Caenorhabditis elegans: one gene and its partner. The protein of the gene in region 1 purifies or fractionates together with the protein of each later gene. This does not show direct contact. Each region holds a gene or a part of one and is shown on either strand. Other genes may lie near its edges. The genes, in order: crn-2 and ttbk-8.2.

Region 1 (3,378 bases):
TGTCTGGAATAAAAACGCCCCAAAGTTCGACGATGAAATGATCGGTGGTCCGTCTGCGAAAAAAGCTAAAAAAGTGAAAGAAGGTGGGGTTTCCCTAATTGAAGATCAATGTAAACATTATTTAAATTTTTTCAGATAAGTCAGGAATTGTTCATGGTGAAAAAGCGCGTCGACGAAAACTCGCCCGTCCGGAGTTTAATAAGCAACGATTCAAAAAATCGTTCAATGCACATGTAATCGAGCAGAGCAAGGCAATTTTAGACTCAGCAGAGCCGGATTATCGACGAGTGAATGCTTATCAACTAAGCTCAGCACCTCCTTCTGAAAAACCTGCAAGAAAGTTCTGTGCAGTTTGCGGCATTATTTCCAAGTACTGTTGTACGCGATGTGGTGCCAAGTAAGTTTTTTTTTTAATCTGTGATATACATTATACAGTTTCTTTCAGATATTGCTCACTTCCATGTCGAGACGTGCATAATGATACTCGTTGCATGAAATGGTTGGCTTAACAATTTACAATAGCAAACAATACATCATAACAACGGGTTCCACGCAGAAAATAAATATTTTAAAATTTCCAATAAAAAATCATTCTAGTTTGTAAACTTTCTTCGCATTTTCCGTCGTAATCTTCGCAACTTCCTTCGGATCTCGACCGGCAAAAGCAGCGACAAGCTCACAGACGGCTGCTAGAGAACACGGCTCATTCCGATTGAACGAAGAGAAATTGTGAAGCGCTTCGGTTTCCGGGGTAATTAGGCTTTTGATTTCTTTTGGAATCTTTTTATCGTTGATTTTCGGGTACATATAAGGTGCATCAGTTTCAAGAACCAGCTTTTCTGAAATAAATTAATAATTTTAAGAAATAATTCATTTTTAAAAAATACCAATCGGAATTTCTCCAGATCGAAGCCCTGCCTGCACTCCATTATCTGATCTATCTTTCCAGAGGAACCCTGTCAATCCGATGTAGAACCCCATTTCCAAATATTTCTTCGCCTCCACTACGGTCCCAGTGAAGCAATGAATGACTGCGGGTGGAAGGCTGGAAATAAAAATTATAGAACAAGCTGAAAAATTAAGAAAAAAATATTACGAAGGTCCGGCAGCTGTTAATATTTTAACCATATCTTCATGAGCTTCTCTTTCGTGAATGAACAATGGTTTCTGAAGCTTTACAGCCATATCTACTTGCTTTGCGAACACTTCTTTTTGCACATCTTGTGGAGAAAAGTTGCGATTAAAATCGAGACCACATTCGCCAACAGCCACGCAACTCGGGTTTTCTTGTAATTTTTTGAGAGCTTCCAATGTTCCATCATTCCAATCCTTGGCATCGTGCGGATGAACGCCTAGGAATTTTAAGTTATTAAATTGATAACGAGGGCGTGATTGAAAGTTTCGGTAACATACCTGCAGTAAAATACAAAAATCCCGGATACTTTTCAACGAGATCTGCACATTCATGACTAATTTTTTCGCTGGTTCCAGTAACCATAATTTTCGACAACCCGGCTTGCTTGGCACGATCGAGCACATCATTCAAATCCTTTTGATATGAAGGATGACCCAGATTGGCTCCGATGTCGACGAGTTCGTACAACGCCATCCTGGTTATTCTTGATGATATTCCGAGAATTCTGATATGATAACAATTTGAAAATAAGCGTTAAAATGAAGGCGAAAATCGAGAAAAAGGCATTGTAAAGGCAAAAAAGTCCATTGAACAGAGAATATTAATATTCAAGAAAATTTCAAAAAGAATTTATCAACAGCAACAGTGAAAACTAAATGACTATAGGAAGTTATAGACTAAATAAAAAATTAAATTTTACTCCCATCCGAGATTGCGGCGTACATTCGGATCATCCAATGCTTTGAGTTCTTCTTGCTTCTGCTTCAATAACAAATCAGGAATATATCGGGAGTCTTCATCAACTTTCTCGTGTTCTTTCACCGTCATCTGAAGAATATATTTTGATTGAAATAAATTTCATCATATTTCATGTTATTACGACATCGAAAATTGGCTAATTTTACGAAATCTACATTTTTTTAAAACCTACAGTAACTCCAATGGGAATATGTGCTCGAATAATTTGACTGAAAAGTGAGAATCGGGGAGCGGCAACATCACTGAGACGGACGACGCGATCGTATGTGGACATATCAATTTCAGATTCGGAAACCGTCGAGTACGGCTTATAGGTGATTGCTTTTTGTGTTTGAGCAGCGACAGCATAACTATCCACCACGGTAAATCCGAATCGTTTCGCAGTTTTATGAATGTATGCTTGATATTTTTCTAGCGATCCAAAGTCGTGTCCTTGAATTCGGACGTTAATTGTGTTGTACCTGAATTTTTTTTTAAATTTAACAAATTTTTGAGAACTTGGCGAACGTACTCTGGAAACTCTCTACTATCTTGAAATTTCGGCTCGTAGAGCAAACTGGCGTCACGCTCTCCAACAGTTTCTCGTAGCGATGCGAGTCCTCGATTCTGTGAGATCACGCGAGATAATAAGGAGACCGCTCGGGATGACATTCTGCTTGAAAATTCAAAAATATTTTTATAGAGGATGTTGAAAAAATAGTTCAAATAAAAACGGATTCAACCTGAACTTGTGAAAATTTTATGAATTATTCAAGATGATTAATTTATTTTTTCAAATATTTACAAGCGATGACCAGTTTGTCGGAAAAGAATTAAAGAATCTATAAAAGCGAGCGAAAGAATTCAGAAAAATGGATGACGACCAGCAGAAGGTTGAGAAATATTTGGATATCCTGAATAGCCAGATCCGAATTGAATATTTCCTATTCCAGGCATGTGATTTCCTGTTGGGTATCCAGGCTGAGCGTGTGGCATTGGAGGAGGTACAGTTGGTTGAGCATATGAAGAATACGTTTGTTCACGAAGAAGTGCTGCGAGACGGTCAGACTTGATTTTTCGTAGATGAGCAATTGTCTTCTTATCTTTGAATTGCTTCAGGAAAATTTCCACGGATATTTCTCCATTTTCAAATTGTGTGAATAGGGCTTCTGCATCATCATCAGCTTCTTGTGCGGCGACTTGCATCAAGCTCGATGTTGTATCAAGTGATTTTGATGAGGAAACAGAGTCCAATTGACTTTTCAGCACGGCAACTTCTCCTTGGAGCTTTTTTACTTGGTCGTAGAGATCAACCGTTTGCGTTTTGGCAGCATCGATTCTCGGCTTTTGAGCTAAATTCCATTCTGCTAATGATTTATTTGCGGCAAGAGCTGATTCCTTATCAGTCGGCATTGAGCGGACCTGAAAAGTTATCCAGTTAAAATAAATCACCTGCTGAATATTTTTTACAAACCTGCGGGAGATTGACAATAATCGATTCTAAA
Region 2 (4,254 bases), on another chromosome or scaffold:
AAAACAAACCCAAAAAAGCACGTTCTCGGACCCCAATGCTTGCAGAATCCATTGGAAACGTATGCCAAAGTCATTCCAGTTGGGATTAATCTCTGTTGAACGAAGAAATCAAACATACAAGCGAAGAAATCAGTTATTGCAAAGTTAACGATTAACGTGGCATATGACTTGATGACACGTGGAGTTTGGAACAGTGCCAAGTAGGCTAACAAGGCATTGAAACACATTCCAAGCACGGAAATTATGGCATGAGCACATGAGAAGAGAACAGCAAAATCAAACATGACTTTGATTTCTGAAAAAGAAAAAACGGTTTCAGGGTATTTATGTAATGGTTCGAGCTAATGTGGTTGACAATTTAAGAATCTTTTTTATATTGAGATACAAATACATTTCTTATTCAAAGAAAAAAAAATATTTAACTATAAAGTTTTGTACCCTGTCTGGGTATGCATTTAAAATGATTAATTGGAACGTACTACATAATGGATACAATTTTAAAATAAGGAAGTCTCATTTGTGTGATAAAAGTTCAAAACTTCTGAATATACTAACTAGAACACCTCCTTTCCTGGTTATTTTGTCAACCAAGTAAATAATAGAGTTCCGAAATCAAAAATCGTGTTTTGATTTTATGGAAGAATTGTATAGAACAATACGATTATTACTCTATTTATTCGAAATACGTGAGTTTTTAAATAAAAAACAAGAAAATGGAGATCAAAACTATTGAATTTATTCTAGTTTTCGAATATACTAGAGCATCAATTAACGGATTTTAAAAAAGCGAAATCGTCATTGGGGGATAAGTATGAACAAAAATTAGTACGCATTTAAATAGTTGCCGGAGCATGAAACTAGAAAATTCACGGAATTTGAATTTCAGCTACTTTTAGTCATTTCTGTAGATTTTCGCAAAATAATTATCTGAGCGGGCTAGGTTTTCCTAGCTTTTTCAATAAAAAAACAGCAAAAAATATATTGTAAACTTTAGTTTTTCGCCTTTGAAAAACAACGCATACCGAATAAAGAAGAACGAAAATTCTGGTTACTAAACCGTATAAAGTGAACTCTTGAAACTGTAAAAAATAAAAAATAAAAATTTTTTAACCAAATTTTTTAAAGCATGAAATAAAAAAGCTTCTAAAAATTATAGGTAAGTATAATCATTATATATTGCTTTTCTAATCCCATCCTCTATTGTTTTTATTCTCGATTGTTCTCCATTCGGTTCCACGCCTTCTCAATAAAATGATCGTTTATCTATATATTTCTCATTTTAGGTAATCTGTCATTCTTTAGGTAATCTGTCATTAGTGAGCGCATAAGCATTGTGCTTAATAGCTTTAGTCAGACCATTGTCTGATTTTTGACCTCTTAAAAAGAATTTCTTTGAAAATGATTCATAAAGCACTTTCAAATAAGGTGCTTAAACTTCAATTCTGAGTCACTTCTGCTAAAATTATATTTCAATAAATTGGAGACTGAAAGCATTATAAAAATAAATAAAAGTTATCCAAAAAGGGTTCAAAAATTACTGTAAGAAGAGCTTTGGTTTGTTATATCTGAACCTAAAAGTTTTGCATATCAAATGTTTGCATTTTTTCTTTTGCCTTTTCCGGTTTAAAATAAAAATAAAAAAATTGAAAACAAATAGGCGCATAAGCTTATACTCCGTTCTATAATAATAAGTATCATATGCTCTCCTTGGCCTTTGTAAGCGTAGAAAAAGAAACAAATCAGTTTTATGATTTTCATCTTTAACATTTTTTTTTTCAATTTTTAATGTCACGTTTTTTTTTAATTGATTAAAAAATTATCTCTTTAATTGCAACTTTATTGAAGATAATTTTTTCAAAAAAGTTTAAAACGTGGCCACCTCCGTGTCATTATCTTTGCTCCACATCTAAGCTCCGCCCAAACATCACCCCAGGGTAAAATCAGAAATTCAAAACCAACAATTCAATCCTTACAATTTTGGAGTTTCATTGAAAAACCAAACGGCTTGTCAGACGAACATTCAAGATGGCCCAAGAGCTCATTCAGCTTAATCCCGGACAACAGGTGAGTGAGAGAGTTCGCTGCGAGACCCGCGAATTTCAAAGCTTTCAGGTCGAGAGATGGAGCATCGAGAAGAAGTTGGGAGAAGGAGGATTCGGTGCGGTGTACCGTGTATTCGACGCAACCGGCAAATACGCGATGAAAGTGGAAGGAGCCAATGAGCAGATCCAGGTACATCACAGCACAATTGTTCATTTGAATTTTTTCTGCATTTTTGAGCAACAGTTTTTGTTTCTATCTTTCGGAATCTTTCGGTCATTCTTCTTAGAATCTTAGAATTGTTCGGTTTCAAGTTTCACTCTTACACTAGAGCGCAAATGAACCAACGCTCGAATAATTGTGAGTTCGACAGAGCGCATATGATGTGTGTTTCGTGTAGACCTATGTCCCATCCTAAGCCTAAGCCACATTTAAGCCTGTAGGAGCGCAATTTCTACATTTAAGCCTGTAGGAGCGCAATTTCTCACCTGAGACTTTAAGAATAATTTCAGGTGTTGAAACTGGAAGTTTCTGTGCTCAACGAGCTCTCAAAGCGTGGAAATCGTCATTTCTGTAAGATCGAGGACAAGGGACGCTTTGGAAACTTCAACTACGTCGTAATGACACTTGTCGGAAAATCGCTTCAAGATTTGAATAAAGCTGGGGTCGGTGGGCACATGTCGATGGGTTGCTCGATTGGAATCGGCATTCAATCGTTGGAGGCACTCGAGGATCTTCATAACATTGGATACCTTCATCGTGACGTCAAACCCGGAAATTACACGATTGGACGTCCCGAGTTGAACGAGATTCGCAAGGTCTACATTTTGGATTTTGGAATGTGCAGAAAGTTTACTGGGAATGATGGAACCATTAGAAAGCCACGCCAAGCTGCTGGTTTTCGTGGAACTGTCAAGTACGCTCCAATCAGTTGCCATCTTCAGAGAGAACTTTGCCGGTATGTGCTCAAGCCCAATCCCAAATCTAATTGACTCTAATTTCAGCAAGGACGACTTGGAGACCTGGATGTACATGCAGGTTGAACTGTCGCACGGAACAATTCCATGGCAACATATCTCTGACATGAACCAAGTTGGTCAGGCCAAACAAGCGATCCGTAACAACCTTGGGACCCTGTTCCCACCGCCATGCCCACAACAATTCCAGGATATTATGCGTATGGTTGATGCAATGAAATACTATGATGCACCCAACTATCAAGCAATATACGGAATGATGCGTCAAGCTTATGGTGCTTGCGGATCCAACGAGAATGCTCCGTACGATTGGGAAAATGGAGGACCAGCTGCTTACTTGCTCCACTAGAACATAGACTTGATATCGACTACTCCTTTTTTGTATTGAAATAAAAATGATTATGATGAAAAGTTTTCTGTTTTGTTATGTAACACAAATGATAGAAATTATGATAGGGTCCTGGCACAATCAAAAGTTTTTAGCTACCGTACCAGATACTTCATCTTGCTAAACTAGAGCTTCTATGCAGGCCCTCACCCGCCTGCCTCACCTGCGCCTTCTGAATAGTGTCCTGCTGAGCCCATAAGGTCTACCTATATGTATGCATCAAAACGAGAAGGCCTGCTTGAGGAGACAAGGCTCCAGGTTCCCAGCGTCTACTTCCCATGATTTTCATCATAAAATATTTGATTATGTTGGAAAGGCTAAATTTTTCTTGAACTTGTTTCGAGATATATTTGAATTTTAATTAATTTATTCCGATTTTTGTCTCATAACTGGCATATTGTTGTAAACAAATTTTTAAGCTATTTATACAATTTACAAAAACCTTTTTAAATGAATTTTACCCAGTATAAGCATTGCTAGTATAGATATTACGTGTTAAAGATGATTCTCCAGGTTCAACACGAGTCGTTTTGAAAAAGTAGTGCATGATAAATCGCCGGTACGGAGTAACAAAAATAAAAGAAGCTAGTGGAGAAAGAAGTGGAATCAAGAGAAATGACGAAAATGTAAAGTATTCAAGAGCTGGATGATTGTAAATTCCAAATTGCCCAATGGCATAAGATGTTACTCCGAACAAGTAGAAACCAGGTATTGCTGCTTGATAGGTTAGGGCCTGAAAAGGAAAAATTATGAGAAGCATAACCAATATAATGGTCGGTATTTTAAGACTTAGATGAAATAGTGAATGTCTGAATTAAAATCTGCTTAATCTTAAGGTAAAACGCTTAG

What was found.
Region 2: the proteins of crn-2 (region 1) and ttbk-8.2 fractionate together in Caenorhabditis elegans (co-fractionation; one large-scale study listed by BioGRID). This does not show direct contact.

Annotation. Positions count from the first base shown.
Region 1 is NC_003283.11:5,592,877-5,596,254, reverse strand, and holds crn-2 (Deoxyribonuclease TATDN1), read right to left. Parts: upstream 1,641-3,378; 5' UTR 1,610-1,640; coding exon 1,414-1,609; intron 1,353-1,413; coding exon 1,097-1,352; intron 1,046-1,096; coding exon 888-1,045; intron 840-887; coding exon 589-839; 3' UTR 510-588; downstream 1-509. Other genes in the region: zhit-1 (HIT-type domain-containing protein), read left to right, coding at 1-83, 136-397, 446-509; mrpl-48 (Small ribosomal subunit protein uS10 domain-containing protein), read right to left, coding at 1,832-1,963, 2,067-2,355, 2,406-2,545; vps-37 (VPS37 C-terminal domain-containing protein), read right to left, coding at 2,738-3,295, 3,348-3,378.
Region 2 is NC_003282.8:5,629,956-5,634,209, forward strand, and holds ttbk-8.2 (non-specific serine/threonine protein kinase), read left to right. Parts: upstream 1-1,972; 5' UTR 1,973-2,025; coding exon 2,026-2,064; intron 2,065-2,112; coding exon 2,113-2,232; intron 2,233-2,390; exon of another isoform or gene 2,391-2,411; intron 2,412-2,552; coding exon 2,553-2,998; intron 2,999-3,044; coding exon 3,045-3,366; 3' UTR 3,367-3,424; downstream 3,425-4,254. Other genes in the region: srd-12 (G_PROTEIN_RECEP_F1_2 domain-containing protein), read right to left, coding at 10-284; srd-13 (G_PROTEIN_RECEP_F1_2 domain-containing protein), read right to left, coding at 3,863-4,138.